Caenorhabditis elegans: one gene and its partners. The protein of the gene in region 4 purifies or fractionates together with the protein of the main gene of each other region. This does not show direct contact. Each region holds a gene or a part of one and is shown on either strand. Other genes may lie near its edges. The genes, in order: rpb-9, ddx-27, lig-1 and dcaf-13.

Evidence for each region.
Region 1: the proteins of dcaf-13 (region 4) and rpb-9 fractionate together in Caenorhabditis elegans (co-fractionation; one large-scale study listed by BioGRID). This does not show direct contact.
Region 2: the proteins of dcaf-13 (region 4) and ddx-27 fractionate together in Caenorhabditis elegans (co-fractionation; one large-scale study listed by BioGRID). This does not show direct contact.
Region 3: the proteins of dcaf-13 (region 4) and lig-1 fractionate together in Caenorhabditis elegans (co-fractionation; one large-scale study listed by BioGRID). This does not show direct contact.

The regions. Positions count from the first base shown.
Region 1 is NC_003283.11:8,010,495-8,014,156, reverse strand, and holds rpb-9 (DNA-directed RNA polymerase II subunit rpb-9), read left to right. Parts: upstream 1-1,811; coding exon 1,812-1,996; intron 1,997-2,430; coding exon 2,431-2,559; intron 2,560-2,611; coding exon 2,612-2,801; 3' UTR 2,802-2,944; downstream 2,945-3,662. Other genes in the region: Y97E10AR.6 (BSD domain-containing protein), read left to right, coding at 209-370, 462-1,307, 1,418-1,516; lmtr-2 (Ragulator complex protein LAMTOR2 homolog), read left to right, coding at 3,051-3,234, 3,343-3,533. UniProt on the Caenorhabditis elegans protein: DNA-dependent RNA polymerase catalyzes the transcription of DNA into RNA using the four ribonucleoside triphosphates as substrates. Component of RNA polymerase II which synthesizes mRNA precursors and many functional non-coding RNAs.
Region 2 is NC_003279.8:1,766,098-1,770,949, reverse strand, and holds the start of ddx-27 (RNA helicase), read right to left. Parts: upstream 3,064-4,852; 5' UTR 3,009-3,063; coding exon 2,451-3,008; intron 1,086-2,450; coding exon 881-1,085; intron 1-880.
Region 3 is NC_003283.11:10,812,368-10,817,277, forward strand, and holds lig-1 (DNA ligase 1), read left to right. Parts: upstream 1-1,745; coding exon 1,746-1,798; intron 1,799-1,844; coding exon 1,845-2,052; intron 2,053-2,098; coding exon 2,099-2,523; intron 2,524-2,569; coding exon 2,570-3,932; intron 3,933-3,983; coding exon 3,984-4,256; 3' UTR 4,257-4,351; downstream 4,352-4,910. Other genes in the region: C29A12.1 (uncharacterized protein), read right to left, coding at 77-136, 183-346, 393-589, 634-758, 804-1,022. UniProt on the Caenorhabditis elegans protein: DNA ligase that seals nicks in double-stranded DNA during DNA replication, DNA recombination and DNA repair.
Region 4 is NC_003280.10:4,421,821-4,426,881, reverse strand, and holds dcaf-13 (DDB1- and CUL4-associated factor 13), read left to right. Parts: upstream 1-1,979; 5' UTR 1,980-1,987; coding exon 1,988-2,057; intron 2,058-2,109; coding exon 2,110-2,268; intron 2,269-2,321; coding exon 2,322-3,033; intron 3,034-3,639; coding exon 3,640-3,894; intron 3,895-4,117; coding exon 4,118-4,256; 3' UTR 4,257-4,362; downstream 4,363-5,061. Other genes in the region: toe-1 (HEAT repeat-containing protein 1 homolog), read right to left, coding at 1-1,484, 1,530-1,671; bpnt-1 (3'(2'),5'-bisphosphate nucleotidase 1), read right to left, coding at 4,670-5,061.

The DNA of each region.
Region 1 (3,662 bases), on a different chromosome or scaffold from region 4:
CTTCTCTGCCTCATTTAGCCGAGTCTTCTCTGTGTTTTCTCCCATTTCAGCCTTTTTTTGCTTTTGTTTTTCTATTTTTCCATTTTCTGTTCCAGATATCTTCTCGTCTCATTCGTTTCTTCATCCTCTTTCGAAAATTAGATTCCGTGCAATAAATGAGTCCCTTCTCATGGCATTTTCTCCAGCTAATTCACTCATTTTTCAGAGAATGTCGGAAAAACCCGAAGATGTAAAAGTCGAGGAAACCGATGAGGAAAAACCGAAAACCACGGAAGATTCCGGATTCGCTGGCGGATTTGGAGCTGCTAGTTCATGGCTCAACCAGGGTTCCTCTTGGGGAGCATCATTTTTGAATTCTGCCAAGGAAAAGGTAAGTGCATAATTAAATTTCGCAATAATTGTGTTTTATCCTATTTTACTTCACAAAAACAATGAAAATTCCTTCTAAAAACAAATTTCAGACGATGACAACTCTTGACCTAGTCAAAAAGGATTTGAACGATTTGAGTGAAGCCGTCTCTGCTGAAGTAACCGATCTTGCTTCAGCTGCAAAAGAAGGTTTCGGGACTGCTGCAAATGCTGTCAAACAACAAGCTCAGATGCTGGAGAAGCTTGTGACTCCGAATGAAGAAGAGAAACCATTACCAGGAGAAGGAGACGATAATGGTGAATCATCGGAACAGAAAACAGGAACTGAGAAACCAAAACTGGAAAGCTCGAACTCTCTGAGCTTTGGATGGATGACTAAGATTGTGGATACGGTTACAGATACGGTCAAGAATTTGGCAATGGAAGAGACCACTACCGGAGAAGACGATTTTACTGAAGCTATCAAGCCCAAGAAAGATAGAAAAACTTGTTTATCAAAATTGAAGCTCTCCGAAATTCAATCCAACGAATCTATCTATCTCACTGAACCAGGAAATTCTGAATTTTATGAAAGATGGATTTCTCGCTTCAATTTAGACGAATATGACGGAGAGATCAATATTCTTCTTGCAAACAATCCATCATTGCGTCAAATGTTTGCAAATCTTGTTCCAGGCAGTGTCAATCATGAAACATTCTGGAAACGGTATTTCTATGCTATCGAGGTTGCTGAAATGGAGGAAGAAATGAACAAGTCGACACTCTCCGAGGCATTGAATGTTGATACAAAATCACCAAAGAAATCGAAAAGAAAGGGATCATCTGGAACATCATCAAAGAAATCATCACCATCATCTGAATCGTCTGTAGTGGTTGTAGAAGAGCCAACGAGTCCGTCACAATCTGAATGGAGTGTTTGCAGTGAAAAGAATGTTGAGGTTCGTTTTGTCGCTGAACCATAATTTTTTTTTCGAAAAATTTGCACCAAATGTTATTAAAAGTGCTGCCCAATTATTGAAAATCGATAGCAATGTCAAACTAGTTATAGGAAATTCCATCAAATGACGAAGATGACGAAAAGGGACCATTGACACCTCGACCTGAAAGCGAAAAGAAAGAAGAAGGATGGGTTAACTGGGATGAATAATTCAAATGCTCTTTTTTCACTAAATTCACTTCTTTTTCGATATTCTACATGTTCCTGTCAATAATTCCACTGTCACTCCTATCTCTTTAAAGCTTCTAGAATCAAATGGCTAGCATCATTCCCCCATTTCTTTATTTTATGGAATTCTTTTTTATATGTATATACAAAGTTAGAAAGGTCGGTTTTCCTTCTTCGAATAATCTTATCTCTCCTCTGTTGGTTTGTAAATAAAAATTGCATTTTTATTTTATTTTCCACATTTTTGATTCGCTATTTGTGGTTTTCCATTCCACTAATGTATCTGCAATTAAAATCAAAGCTTGAAAATGTTTTATCATATTTTTTCAGAAAGATGAGCCAAGGGTATGATAATTACGATGATATGTACGATCAAAACGGTGCATCACCGGCGCCGAGTCAAAACGAAAAACCCGGGAAAAGTGGGCCTGGTTTTGTTGGAATCAAGTTTTGCCCAGAATGGTAATTAGTTTTATATTATTTAGGAAATTATTTCCGGCAATTTCACAAAGTGGCCGATTGCGCCTTGTTGTTTCAACATTTTTCATTTAAAATTAGTGTGAAAATATTGAAATTAAATTGATTTAACTGGAAATATCATTTTCAGCTGGAACATTATCGAGCTTTGTTTTTTTTTTTGAAAATCGGTAACTTGCATGCCATTTTTAAGCACTTTCTGAAGTTTTTCAGCCGAAAATAATGTTATTTTCAGTAAAATCAACTGAATTACTATATTTTGATACTAATTTTAAACTAAAAATGTTGGAACAAAATGGCGCAATATGCCATTTTGTAGAATTGCCGAAAGAAAATTGCACCCACCTCTGGCTCAAAGCTAATAATAAAGACAAAATGATGAAAATTTGAAAAAAAACATCAAAATTGTTAAACTTCAGCAATAATATGCTGTACCCACGAGAGGATAAGGAATCACGAGTTTTGATGTATTCCTGCCGGAACTGTGAGCATCGTGAAGTCGCCGCTAACCCGTGTATCTATGTGAATAAGCTCGTTCACGAAATTGAGTAAGTTCATTGTCAAATTGACTCATTTTCTAAATCAATTGGATTATTTCAGTGAGCTCACTCAAATCGTCGGAGATATTATTCACGATCCAACGCTCCCGAAGACTGAAGAACATCAATGTCCAGTCTGTGGCAAAAGTAAGGCTGTCTTCTTCCAGGCTCAAACAAAAAAGGCAGAAGAAGAGATGAGATTGTACTATGTATGTGCATCGCAAGATTGTCAGCACAGATGGACGGAATAAAACATAGTGTCCAATTGTTTTCTATTTATTTGAAACGTTTTCTTAATCGTCAATTGTTGTTTTATTCCTTATTTCTAAAATAATGTTTTTTCGGATCTCCATATGTTCCCTACCTGTTCCAATAAATTCAAATCATCATTCAATTTTTCGATTATATTTTTTCTAATTCTCGGTTTTTACCGTACTCTTTGGTTATTTTCAAAATTAAAACTTTCTAACTAGTAACCGTAATCCAAAACTTTAAAATAGATGCTGAAACAGAAAGCGCTGGTTGATGTTCTCGGACAGGTGAACACAAGCGGTGTTGATGGTTCGTGGCTTTTCAATAAGGAAGGATTGCTCCTTGCCTACGTCGGAAGCGAACAGAAAGCCGTTGCATCAAACGTCTCATCTGCACTTATAGCCAGTGTCTGGGCTGCTCTCGAGAGAAGAGGTAGATTTTTTAAAACATGCTCATAATCAGTCTATTTCAACTGGAAAATTACCAGTTCACATTCTTCAAAGTTTGAAATCAAACACCTCGATCAAGTTGTAATTACAGCCAACGATCTGAAAGAAACTATTCTCGTTCTGGAGAATGGAGTAATTGGTTGCACACTCGTCGCTCGTACAATGCTTCTGGCAGTCAAGGCCGACAAGAGTGCCGATTTGGGAATGGTCCGCGCTAAGCTTCATACACTGGCCGCCTACCTCGAGCAGCCGATTCTTTCAATTTCTCACGATTTGGGATGATCGATGTATTATCTTATATTTCTATCGGGTCTCATTCATCCCATCCAAATTCCATTTTATTTTTTTCCAATTTACTAACAATGAATAGATCATTTCACGCCATTCTTGTTTTTTTTAAGAACTTTTAAA
Region 2 (4,852 bases), on a different chromosome or scaffold from region 4:
AATTTTTCAGATTTTTTTTGTCTAAAAACGCCAAAATTTCCGGAAATTTTAGATTTTTACGAGATAAATCCGATTTTACACAAAGAATATCAGTTTTTCTTTGGAAAAATTTGAAAATTGATTTTTTTTTTGGTAAATTTTATCCAAAAAATTTTATTTTTCAGATTTTAAACAATATTTACAGATTTTTCTCCAAAAAATGCCAAAATTTCCGGAAAATTTAAATTTCTACGAGATAAATCCGATTTTACAAAAAAGGGCCGTTTTTTGTTGAAAAAAATTAATTTTTAAAATAAATTTTCTATTTTTCCGATTTTTTAACGAAAAAAATTGCTTTTTTCAGCTATTTTTTCAATTTTTTTGATAAATTTTATCCAATTTTTTCGGATTTTTCTGTCTAGAAAATGCCAAAATTTCCGGAAAATTTAATTTTTTCGAGATAAATCCGACAAAAAATATCAGTTTTTTTTTGAAAAAATTGATTTTTTGATGATATATCTCCTATTTATTTTTTGAAAAAAAATTGGTTTTTTTTGATTTTTTCATAAATGTTCCAAAAAATCCAAAAATTTTTATTTTTCAGATTTTCTCAAAAATTGGAAAATTTCCGGTGAAATTAATATTTTTATAATAAAATTAGTATTTTTCTGATTTTTTCACAAAAAAATTGCTTTTTCAGCAATTTTTTAATTTTTTGAAAAATTTTATTCAAAAAATCATATTTTTTAGATTTTTTCAGATTTTTAACAATATTCGCAGCTTTTGCTCCGAAAATTCAAACTTAATATTAAATTTTTTAAAAATTCCAATTTTTTACACTGTAAATTTTGGCTTTTTCTTCCCAAAATTTCCCAAAAAATCATCGCATTCTCCAACTAACCTGCACACAGACAAACTTCCAATTGAATGAACGTCGATAATTTTCGGAAAACTTGGAATACTTGAATTGCCAGTTCACGAGTTGGTACCAAAACGAGTACACGTGTACAACTGGCACCTTTCGGACGATAAATCATACGTTCGAGAATTGGAAGAACGAAGGCGGCGGTTTTTCCGGTTCCAGTCGCTGCACAGGCGCAAATGTCCTGAAATTGAACAGTTTTAGATCAATTTTTGAAGAAAAAAAAAATCACTAAATGTCCTTTTTTTTTAAAGGAGGTGTAGTCGAATTTTTTAAATTGCTTTATTAGACTTAAAATTGTCTGAAAACACCGAATTTCATAATGAAACTTCACAAAAAATTTCCAAAAATTTTTTATGGCTTGTCAAAATTTCAAAAAAAAAGAGCCAAATTTTGCTAAAATCTGAAATTTCGCACACTTTTCTTTGTCACAGCTGCTGGATTTTAACTTTTCTGAAATTATCACCTTTTTATCCTTATTTTGGTAATTTATATTTTTGGATGCCTATCAGCCTAAAAGTTGTCTCAATCATCGAATTTCCGTGATATAAATTACCAAAATAAAGATTAAAAGGTGATAATTTCAGAAAAACTAAAAACCAGCGGCTATGACAAAGAAAAGTTTGCGAAATTTCAGATTTTAGCAAAATTTGGCTCTTTTTTTTCGAAATTATGACCGGCCATAAAAAATTTTTGGAAATTTTTCGTGAAGTCTCATTATGAAATTCGGTAGTTTTGGACCATTTCGGGTCGGAAAAAGCAAAGGTTCAAATTTCGGTACTCCACCTTTAATTCTTGTCAGAAAAATTCCAAAAAAAAATTTTCCGCAAGATTGCAGTACCTTTCCAGTAAGTGCCACCGGAATACACGCCTGTTGTTTTTTTTTTGAAAATTTCAATTTTTTTTTGGACAGCAGTCTAATAAAAAAAACCCCAATCTGGTTATTTTTTCAGAAAAAATAATTTTTTTCACGAGAATTGTTTTTTTTTTCGCAAAAATGATAGAAACATTACCTTAAGTGAAAGTTGATTTTTTGCTGAAGAATTTTTTAAAAATTTAGTCCTGACAAAAATGTTAATCATTGGCTTTTTGTGTTTTTTTTTTTGAAAAGGAAGCAAATTTTTTTGAGAACGAAAAATTTCTGGTTCCTTCAATATACATATCCGTTTTTGGTATTTTTTTTTGTGAAAATTTTTTTTTCGGAAGAATATATATTTTTTTTGGAAAATTTGAATGTTCTTCAATTTTTTCTCTTTTTAAATTTTTTTTTTGGAAAAAAAAACGATTTTTCGGGCATCTTTCCAGTTTTTCATTAATGTTGAATTTTTCAATTTTTCCCAAAGGTAAAAAAAAAACTAAAATTGATTTTTGGCAAAAAATAAACCAAAACATTAATTTTAAGATTTTTCAATCCTTTTTTGCCTAAATTTTTTTCAAAATAATAATTTGGAGTCAAATAAAAATATTTCCCAGACATTTCACTACTCCACCTCTACTTTTTGTCAGAAAATTTCCAAAAAAAAAAATTCTCCGCAAAACAGCAATTCACCTTTCCAGTAAGTGCGACCGGAATACACGCCTGTTGAATAGGCGTCGGATCCGAATATCCAGCGCCGGAGCACGCCTTCAAAATCTGTCGGCTCAAATTCATTTGTTCAAATGATACATTAACACTCGTGTCGAGACTTTTTCCATCAATCAGCGCCGAAAAGAAATCCTCATTTTCCTGGGATTTCTTTGATTTTCCACTTTTTCTCTTCTCTCGTACAGTATCTCGTGTCTCTTTTCCACCCAATTGTTGAACATCATCCTCTTCTTCATCTTTCTCCTCGGCTTCAGCAGCTTCAGCTTCATCCTCAACAATTACAGCTTTTCCCGTATTCTTCAACTTTCTCATTTCGGCGATTTTCTCGTCCAGTGACGTTGGCGTCTGCTTTTTCAGATATTTCTGAAGATCCTCGGTTTCTCGATCGATAAATTGGGTGTCGCCTGACTCAAAAATGAAATCCTGAGCAAATTCTTCGGCGGCATTCGCCATTTTCTTCTTCTTTCTGACGGTTACTGCCTCGTCTTGGACTTGCTCGTCGTCCGACTCGTCGATTTCCATTTCTTCGTCGGATTCGACGGTTTTTGGGAACAAATTCACCATTTTTTTTTTGGCTCTGAAAATTGGGAAATACGATTTTTTTAGTGGGGGAGGGAATTTTTTTTGAAAAAATCCAGATTTTTTTGGATTAAAAAAATTAGGGCATTTTATTGGGTTTTTGTTGATTTCCAGAGGATTTTTCACTTGAAAAATATCGATTGTAATGGAATTTCTCTGAAAAAACCGTGAATTTCTCAATTTTTAGCTAAAATTTCAGAAAATCTCATATTTTGGAGCATTTTCAGAGGATTTTTGACTCAAAATTCTAGTTTTCACGGATTTTTCAGTCAAAAAATTTCGATTTTTATGGAATTTGTTCCTTTCAAAACCGGGAAATTTAAAAAAAACGACAATTTAATTTTGCGCTATTCAATTTTTTTGTTAGACAAAAATTACATTTTTTTGGCTATTTTTCTTGGAAAATTTGAATTTTCTATATTTTTTGGACACCAGTCAATTGAAAAAATATTTTTTTCTGAAAAAATCCAACAATTTTTGGATTTAAAAAAAATTGACATTTTATTTGGTTTTTGTTAATTTCCAGAGCAATTTTTCTGTCAAAAAATATCGATTGTAATGGAATTTCCATGACAAAACCGGGAAATTCTCAATTTTCAAGCTAAAATTTCAGAAAATCCCATTGTTTGGATAATTTTCAGAAGATTTATGACTGAAAATTGACTTCTCCGCGATTTTTATGGAAATTTTAAAACAAAAAAATCAATTTCAATGATTTTTTTAAAACAAAAAATATTCTCAATTTTTAGCCAAAAATTTTTGATTTTTCAGGGATTTTTCAGTCAAAAAATATCGATTTAAATAGATTTTCCTCGCAAAACCGTGAATTTCTTAATGTTTAGCTAGAATTTCAAAAAATTTAATTTTTGACTGAAAATTGATTTTTTAGGAATTTTTAGTCATAAAATCATCAATTTTAATGGAGTTTTTCCCTCTCAAAACCGTGAAATTCTTAATTTTTGCCAAAATTTTAGAAAATCTCAAATTTTGGGTTTTTGGGAACAAATTCACCATTTTTTTTAGAAGGGGGAATTTTTTGAAAAAATCGGAAAAAAATCCAGAATTTTTGCATAAAAATTTTTTTTTGGCATTTTATTTGGTTTTTGGAAACGATGGGCTGTAAAAAAGATTTTTTTAAATTTTGTTAATTTCCAGACGATTTTGCAGTCAAAAAACTACTTTTAATGGGATTTTTCCCTCTTTTTTTTTTTTTTTTTTGTTTTTTTTTTTTTTCATTTTTAAATGAAAAATTACGAATTTTTCGGCATTTTTCTGTGCTAATTTTTTAAAATTCTATATTAAAAAAATCTTTTTTTAGACTAAAATTTCGAAAACTTTGCCATTTTTGAACAAATTTTCTCAATTTTTAATTTTTTAAGCTACAAAAGTGAATTTCTACAAATTTTCGAATTAAAAAAAAAATTGAATTGGTAAAGAAAACCAATAAAAATCACGACGAAAAAATTCAAAATTCTCCAAAACCTCCATAAAACAGTGTTTTTCATACAACACATTGAGAGAGGCACCAATTGAATAGAATAAATAGTAATAAAGCGAAAAAATGGGGAGAAATTACCACATATTTTGGCATTACAACGGGGGGAATAGAAAAATTCAGAGAAATATTGAAAATTATCAGAAAAAAACGGGGAAATTCAGGAAAAAATTGAGATTCAGAGAGAGAGAGAAAGAGATGAAAAAGATTTTTTGAAAATTAAAAAAATTAAGAAAATCAACAAAAAAAAAATTACAGAAAAAATCAAAAAAAGCAATTTTTCAGAAGAAAA
Region 3 (4,910 bases), on a different chromosome or scaffold from region 4:
ATGAAAAACGACTTATATAAAAGCTATGAAATGAACAATATAGAGTTATCATCTGTAAGAAATAAATTTAGGCGTCTTATTTGTGATGATGATCGATGTAGTCGTGAATAGCTGATACGCTTCTGCGGATTGTTTTCTAAAATTAAATAGGAATGAAAATAAATCGGAATCCATTTTTATACCTTGACAGATCCCAAAACTTTCCGGCCAAGGCTGCGAGAGCGACGTTTTCTCGGAAGATTGGGCGATTCAAAGGGTGTAGAAATGTCTTCCGCAGGGGTCTCAAAATGTTCGAAATGAGGTGTAACGTTTACAGAATTAATGGCTTCCGCATAAGCAAGGTAAACTGAAACAGTTTATAAATATTAAATCAATCAACCTGAAATTCATACCTTCGTGATCTCTCATAGCTTGTGAACGAGCCTGCTCTTGAAAATCTCGCCGGATATTTTCAGCTTGAAGATCTCTCAGTTTTTTTTCGGATTCCATTGTTTTCTTCAGCTGCTCTTTCTTCAATTGCTCCAGTCGTCTCATAACAATTTCCTTCTCATTCAATAACTTTGCATGCTTTCTTTGAGCATTTGACTTTCTGAAATGATATTTTTAATCCAATTATTTACTTTTTGAACTTACGCGATGAACAATCGCTTGTTCTGGTCGTTATTGACAATTTTGTACATATTTTGTGTGATGGAATTTATTGCATTGACGACATCAACAAGGCATTCCATAACTGGAGCATTGTCGGCAGGATTGATCTGAAAAAGGAAACAAATGTTTGTTAAACACATTCTCGTCTATACCTCCGACACAGTTTCTGCCACGTGAACACGTATGGAAAAATCTTCAAGCTCGTCAGTGAGTGTTCCGGCCCCATCCATCCACTTCTGTGCCCAGGCGACTAGGTTTCGCTGGTTCTCTGGCGCCTTTACATTTTTACACAAATCGAGAAGGACTGCCAACCATTTTGCAGCCTCATTATGTAGTTCATCGAGAAGGTCCTTTTTCTGTGACAGGGACATTCTGAAACAGTGTTAGAAAATGAACATCGATGAAAGACACGTGTATTCAGCTCGACTAACGCCTCGAAAATTTTCAAAAAAGGCGGGAAAAAATATTTGAATTCGCCAAGAGGAATTTCACCGCAGCGCGTGCAAAAATGTCTGCATTTGCGCGTGACGGTGTTTGCACAAATTACACCGAATGGTCGAGCTGAAAACACGTGAAAGAAACTGAATGCCGTTATTTTCCGCGACGTGCTGAAAGTCGGTATTTTTGATGTGCAGGCATTGGAGTACGGTAGCAATGAACTTTTCTTTTGGTAGGTTCAAATGTGTTGTCTAAATATTCTTTTTTTTATTAATTATAGGTCTCTCACTATCTTTTAAAAAGCAAATAGACGATGGTATTTTCAATGTCCCATTTTTCTATTTTTAATAACGTCGACTTTAATCACAAGGAAAGAAGCATTTACGATTTGCCGGTTTTTAACTGTCTATGTCTCTTAGTCTCCACACTCTCTCATGTGCGCGCAATCGTGCTCTAATGCATCTGGTGCGCGCGCCGTTCAAAATGTATCGTTTTCTGGTTCGATTAATACAACTTTATTTTTAATACTTGCTCGATATTCTCTTGATTTTGCACACTGCCAAGTATTTTACGTTGTATCCCTTCACGTATTAATTATTCATCTTCGAAACCTTTTCTTCTCGAATAATGTAAATTTCACATCTTCATCGTTTCAGATGTTTTTCTCAAAAGCTGGCAAAGCCGCTGTTGAATGGGCAAAGGGTTCAAAGTAAGTTTTTTGTGGAACATACTGTTTTTTATTTCTAAATTTTCAGAGTCCCTTACAAGGAGTTTGCTCTCACCCTTGAGAAAATCGAAGAGTTATCGGGAAAAAAGAAAGTGGATGAATTGGCTCAATTTTTCACCAAAGTTCTGGACTTTTCACCCGACGATTTAACAGCGTGCGTGTACATGTCAGTTAATCAGCTCGGGCCATCGTATGAAGGGCTCGAGCTTGGAGTTGCTGAAAATTCGCTGATCAAGGTTTGCATTCCACTGAATCTATATTAAATTATAAAGAAAATTTAAGGCTGTTGCTAAAGCGACCGGACGTACAGAGGGAAAAATTAAAGAAGATCTTCGCGCGAAAGGAGATCTTGGGACTGTCGCACAACAGTCAAGATCCAATCAGAAAATGCTTGCTGTTCCAAAAGCATTAACTGTTCCAACTGTTTTCAACAAGTTAACCGAAATTGCAAAGCTCAGTGGCACTTCAGCTATGAACAAGAAAGTTGATGCCATTAGTGCACTCCTCATTGCATGTCAAGGAATTGAGGCTCGATTCCTCGTCCGAATGCTCGCCGGCAAAATGAGAATCGGTCTCGGTGAACAAAGTGTTCTATCAGCACTTGGACATGCATTCACTCTTTCGAAAATAACTGATCAAAAGGTTCGTGGTGACAAACTCGATTCTCTGAAAGATGCAAATGTTAAGCGAGTAAAGACCGCCTATTGGTAATAATTGTTTCTTTATTAAATTATTCATCTAATTAATTTTCAGCGAATGCCCTAACTACAATCGTCTGATCGAAGTTGCACTGACTGAAGGTGTGGAAGCTCTTGTCGAAAAATGTAAACTTTCACCCGGAATTCCACTGAAACCTATGCTGGCTCACCCTACAAAGGGAATTGATGAAATTATGCGACGATTCAGAAATCAGACAATGACCTGTGAATGGAAATATGACGGAGAACGCGGCCAGATTCATAAACGAGAAGACGGGCAAATTTTCATCTACAGTCGAAACCAAGAGAACAACACTACCAAGTACCCCGATATTATCGAAAAAATTTCATCCTGCATCGGGGATGGGGTAACTTCATTTATTGTCGATGCTGAAGTTGTAGCTATCGATGAGGCTGGCTTAATTCTTCCGTTCCAAGTTTTGTCGACTCGTAAAAGGAAAAATGCAACTGATGATAACGGAGTCAAGGTTGTAGTTTTTCTTTTCGATCTTCTCTACTTCAATGGGGAGCCTCTCGTGAGAAAACCACTCCGAAAAAGAAGAGAACTTCTTCGAACAAACTTCAAAAAGATTGATGGAAGCTTCTATTTTGCAACTTCCGTAGATACAAATGATACTGATGAAATCAACTCTTTCTTCGATGAAGCCGTTCAAAATAAATGCGAAGGACTCATGATCAAAACTCTCGACACTGAAGCTACTTATGAGATTTCAAGACGTTCCCACAGCTGGTTGAAAATGAAGAAAGATTACGTTGATGGAGTAGGAGATACGTTGGATCTTGTCGTCATGGGTGCTTATTCTGGAGTTGGAAAGAGAACTGGAGTGTATGGAGGATATCTTCTCGGATGTTACAATCCTACTACAGAAGAGTACGAAAGTGTATGCAAGATTGGAACTGGTTTCACTGATGAAGATTTGGCCGAGCAATACAAGATCCTACAAGACAAGAAAATTGACAAATCTCCTTCTTATTATCAATTTGATCACACTCTTAAACCAGATGACACTTTTTCTCCGTATCTTGTTTTCGAAGTCAAATGTGCCGATATTACTATATCTCCGCGTCACAAAGCTGCAAGTGGATTGACGGATGATGGAAAAGGAATCTCTTTGAGATTTCCTCGTTTCCTGCGTATTCGGGACGATAAAAATTCCGACGATGCAACATCTTCGGAGCAAGTTCTTGAAATGTACAAAAACCAAGAAGCTTTTGCCAACCAGAAGATCGAAAAGGCGGATGCAGTTGATGAGGATGACGAATTTGAAGAAAAAGAAGATGAAGAGGAGGAGTTGAACATGACCAATGTATCTGAAGGAAGTTCTAAAGAAAATCCAGTGAAAGAGGAGATCAAGAAAGAGACTCCTAAATCAGTATCCCCGAAAAAATTCGAAAAGGTTTTAGTTTTTGAAATTACCATTATCGCTAATTATATATATTATTTCCAGAAACCGCCTGTAAAATCTTCACCAGTTAACAAATCGCCCGTGAAAAGTTCACCAATAAAGAAAGAAGCAGAGAAAAAGAAAGGACCAGTTGCTAGCATCTTTTCATCATCGACAAAGAAGAATGAAAAAGACGTTAAAGTGGAATCTCCATCTCCGATCAGAAAGAAGAAGCTGCCTTCTGATTCTGACGAGTCTGATGAAGAAACCTCAACTAATAAGAAACAGCCAGCAAAGAAGAGGTCTCGCGTTGCAATTGATTCCGATTCCGACTAATGCCAAGCAACTAATACTGAGATACATTTCTGCATATTCAATGATTTACTTTTTGTACTATGTTTCCTAATTTTCTAAGTAAATACCTCACATCGACTTTTTCTTTTGTTCACGGCCGGTCATTTTAAACAACTCATTCATGTGTGCGAATGTGTTGTACTTTCAACTGATTTATTCAGAACTTTGGATTTTGAGTCTTCTATTTAGGAAAGAGATAGACGCTGACCTAGATACCTAGAAACAAACACATAGTAAAACTTTACTAAAAAGACAAATGTATATCTACATTCTACCACGTCTGTGTACTCCTGAATCATCTTCTCTCCTTCGTGCATTCTTCTGTTGTGTCGTTGACTTACGTAGTGCGCATCCGCAAAATTCGATTTGCAGTTCAATACGGGAGAGCAGAAAGCATAAGACATTCTGATGCCTCAAACCAATTCAATTAATATTCTTAAGTTTCAAACAAAAAGTTTATTTAGAATTAAAACTTTGAAGCAATAATTAAAACTTTGAACAAATCTAGGTGAATTTGTCACGTCATTCCATGAATCCGCTACTATCCAAAAAAGCGTATCGGGAAAGAATCGTAACAGGTATCCTTCTCACAATTTTGTGGAAAACATTCAAAATTTCCCTGTAATTCATTTACAT
Region 4 (5,061 bases):
TTTCTCTCCTCGTTGAGCCATCTCATTCAGAGCCCATTCGACTTTGTCCCATTTCTCTCCGTTCAACCATTCGGTCGCCTTATTGATCGGGTCACCGGAGAAAACTTCTCGTTTCGCGAATTCTGAACTTTGAGCCAGCTTTTGAGCTTTTTCTGAAGCGGTGAGCTTGATTTTCTTGGAAGATGGAGCTTCCTCGGAAATAATTTCAATAGATTCCTCAGATTGAGTGGCAGCGACAGCTTCACTGGCGAATTGCACAATATCTTCAATTTGGTATTCTTTGAGCACATTTTTCAAGGTTTTCTTGTCCTTAGCCTTCAATTCGGCGTGAATCGCATCAAATTGCTTCGCAAATCGCATTCCAATAGCTCGAATATTCGATTTCAGCTTCTTCTTATTATCGAAAATATTTCCGTCCATTCCTTCCTGAAGGATCAGCTTCAAGATTGTTCCAGCTTGATCTCCAGTCAAAATCGAAGCATCTTCAATAGTTTCTATAAGAACATCAATCGCCAAGGTATTATCTTCAGATTCTGCATCTTTTGACAACACAATAAGTTCTTTCCACAGAACATTGAAGAACTTTGTCGTATCTGTACGCTCTGAGAGTTCCTTCAGAATCTTCCAGACATCAATGCCTTCCTCGTGGCGGAGCAGCTTCTTCAGCGTATTCTTCGACAAACTCTGCACGTTTTGCTGCTGGAAAACAACCATCAGAGTCGAAAGTGAAGCTGCTGCGGTGTCCGATCGCATTTTTGTGATCAGCAGCTTGCACATTGAGTTCAAAACCTCATCCTTGAGCTTCACCGTCAACACCAGCTGGGAGATGACAACCATTGCAGAGTAACGGAAAGATTTCATTGGGCTTTTAATTCCATTTTCGATGAACGGCATCAACTTGGCAAGCATCATTTCGTCGACTTTTTCTGGATCCGTGAACATGCTCAACAACAATTTCGCGTGAAAATTGAAGAGAATAGGATGTTTAATTTCCAAATAGTCACTTCCAACAATCTCAACAGCATGTCTGATGTGATCCGTGATACAGGTAATAATCGAATGCTTGCTTGACAACGTGGCTCTTGCGATTGAAGTGAATGGGATTGGTGTCTCCGTCTTCGTGAATTGCTGCATAAATTGCCATTCTTTCGATCTTTTCCAGTCAAAATCCAGAATACGGAGAAGTCTGGAGTAGACTTTGGTCTCGTGGAATGGGAGAAAAGTGAGAAGAAGCGTCTCGGCGTTGAAAGAGTAGATTTGATAAGTGTGGATCAGGAATTCAAGAACTTGTTGGCAAGCGAAATGTTGTAGATACGGAGAAAGTTCCAGAAGAAGCTTTTCGATTTGTTTGTTGAGCTCTTCATTGGCGCCTTTTTCGAGCATTGACCTGACAAAGTCTACACGCTCTTCAGAGAATAGATCGTTGGCGAATTCTGTATCAAAAACTGGGTCGATTCTCTTCATTTGCTCGAGTCCCGCAACTCCTGAAATAATAAAGAATAAATAAATTAAATTCTCGAAGCTCTTACCAATTCTGTGAGCGGTCTCATTTGATAGTTTATTGGCTTCTTTTCTATCGAACAATAAAGAAACATGGCGCTTCTCAACCGTCAAGTGACGAGCGGCCGATGTTCTCAAATTTTCCAACTGGCTTGTCAACGACGTCGCCATTCTTATGATACCCGGGGTTTGGAGAAATAACAGACAACAATTCTGAAAAATGGTAATTTTATTTAATTTTTGAAACAAAAAAAAAACTGTTCAAAGAAAGAAAATTGCGCTTAAAAATGCGAAAATTACAAAAAAATAATTAGAATAAAAAATAAATTTTCGAGTTTAGGGCGCGGTACGTGAACACCGCACGCAAGTTTGCGGACCGCACACCACACTTTACGACACTTAAATTTTTTCTTTTTTATTGTTTTTATATAAGAAAAGCTTTTCGTAATTTTCCTCGAAATTTAAGTGATTTTTTTCAGGTAACAAAATGAAAATCAAGGTGATTTCTCGAAATCCAAACACTTATCAAAGAGAAACCACGGACAAAAGGAACAAAAGTAAGATTTTCCTAGTATTTTATAATTTCATATATTAATTCAATGTTTCCAGTCGTTCGAAACTTCAACACACCAGCGGACCCATTCAGATCTCAAGTTGAATACACACGTGCTCTAAATGCCACGAAATTGGAGCGAGTTTTCGCTAAACCATTCGTTGCGAGTCTTGACGGCCATGTCGACGGAGTTCAAGTTCTTGCAAAGCATCCGAGTAATTGATTTTTCTTGAAAATCTCTAGAAAAAAATATTTTTCAATTTTCCAGATCGCCCATCCACAGTTTTCTCCGGCGCCCGAGATGGTCAAGTAAAAATCTGGAATTTGGCTTCCAGAGAGTGTCAAGCAACTTTAGACGCACATCGAGGACTTGTTAATGATATTTCAATTGATAATAATAATGGAGAAAACTTTGTAACTGTTGGACAGGACAATCAACTCAAATATTGGAAGATCGAAGGACAACAGAAAACGCCGGCCCATTCAATTGCAATGGATGGAATTGTGTATGGAGTCTCTCATCTCTCATTCTCCTCGGATTTTGTCACTTGTGGAGAAGATATTAGTGTTTGGAAGCCGTATCGTGAGACACCACTACGCAGTTATAATCTCGGCACTGACACAATTCACACATGCCGAGCGAATCCAGTCGAAGAGAACGTGATCGTTGGCGCCCGCTCAGATCGTTCGATTTACGTGCTCGACACGCGACAAGACGTTCCACTGAAGAAGGTGACGATGAAAATGCGTCCGAATAAGATCTCGTGGAATCCGATGGAGGCCTATAACTTCACGGTGGCTAGCGAGGACTATAGCCTGTACACATTTGATATGAGATATATGGAACATCCTGTTCAATCTCATCAGGGATTCACGTCTGCTGTGCTTGATGTCGACTATTCGCCGACTGGTCAAGAATTTGTGGCTGCTGGATATGATAGATCTATTAGATTGTTTAAGGCTAGAGATATGACTAGCAGGTGAATATTAATTGCTGAAAATATTGTAGATCGGCAATCTAGAACAGGGATAGCGGCATGTGCCGCTCGGCAAATTTTTTGTCATTTTCGGCAAATTGCCGATTTGCCGGAAATATTCAATTTTGGAAATTCACCAGATTTCTGATTTTTCGGAAATTTTAATTTTCGGCAAATTGCCGATTTGCCTGAAATTCTTAATTCCACCAATTTGCCGGATTACCGATTTGCCGGAAATTTTGATTTGTGGGAAGTTGCCGATTTGCCGGAAATATTCAATTTCGGAAATTCGTCGGATTTCTGATTTGCCGGAAATTTTGATTTGTGGCAAGTTGCCGATTTGCCAGATTTCTGATCTGCCAGAAATTCACCAGATTTCTGATTTCTCGGAAATTTTGAATTGTGGCAAGTTGCCGATTTTGCCGGAATTTCCAAAAAAAAAAGTGCAATTCCACCAATTTGCCAGTTTGCCGATTTGCCGGAATAGTCAATTCCGGCAATTTGGTGATTTGCTGGAAAAATCGTTTGCCGCCCACCCCTAATCTAGCACTCCAAAATTTTAAAATATAAACTTCAAAATTAGAATTAATTCGAATTCTACAATTTCAGAGACGTCTACTACACAAAACGAATGGCCTCAGTCCTCTCCGTACTCTGGTCTGCTGATTCGAAATTCGTTCTATCTGGAAGTAACGAAATGAATATTCGTGTCTGGAAAGCGAATGCCGCGGAGAAGCTTGGACCACTCACAAAACGAGAGAAACAAGCTTTCGCTTATAATGAAAAACTTCGAGATACCTATAAGAACCATCCAGAAGTACGAAGAATCGCAAAGCATCGCAATGTGCCAAGACATATTTTCACGTGGGTTTTTTGCAGAAAAAATTCAGAATTTTTGGCCAATTACACTGAAAAATAGTGCCAAAATGAAGAAAATCACTTGATTTCTCTGAAAATAGCATTTATGCTGCTGAAAATAATATTATTTTCAGAGAAATCAAGTGATTTTCTGTATTTTCTCACTAATGTTCGTTTTGGAAAAACAACATTTTGTGGAAATTCCAAAGCAAAACTAAACAATTTTCAGAGCCGCCAAGGAGCACAAGCTTATCAGAGACGCCCGCGGACGACGAGATTTCCGACGAGCAAAAGCCGCTGGACTCGACGAGGAGGAATCATATCTGCCACAGACTCAGAAGATTATGGTTGGAGATGCCGAAATGTGAAGCAGCAGCGTCGTTTTTTCTTTTGTTATTTGTTGTTGTTTTCAAGTTTATCACACTTTTTTTTTTTGGTTGTTCTCCTATTTTTCCCAAAAAAAATCCTTGTTTTTAAATACCGCTAAATCAAAAAAAAATTATTTAGAGAAATTCGAAAAACAAAAAAATTAACCGAAGAATCGAAAAATTTTCGATTTTATTTCAAAAAAAAAAATCTCGATTTTTCGGCCATTTTTTCATTTTTTTTTTCGAAGAAAATAATTATGTTTTTTTATCGATTTTCCGTAAAATCGAAAATTTAAAAAAAAATTTGATAATTCATAATTTCATTTACAACACTAAAAAAAGAAAGAAAAATATTTAGACATGAAAGAAAATGATATTAAAAAGGAAAAAAATTAAATTTGGAATGCTTCAGATCACTTTTTCGATGAAATCTCCGGCAACATATTCTTGATTTCTTGTGGAATCGTATCGATATAATCCTTATGCTTGACCCATGAAGCCGTCGCCAGTACTCCTCCCGTATTATTAAGCTGCACACCGGGCTCATATCGAATATCACGGCCCGAAATGTCCGTAAGAGTTCCTCCAGCAGCAGTCAACACGGCTTCAACTGCACACGTGTCCCATTTCTTACAACCAGCACTTGCAAAGACATACGCTGCACACCCTTCCAGAACTTTGAGCACCTTGAATCCGGCTCCACCGACTTTTTCAACGCTATCCGCCAAATTTCGAGTTTTCAGAGCTTCGAGGGCGTTGGAGACAGATTCGCTGAGATGGCTTCGAGTTGTCACCACGATTTTTT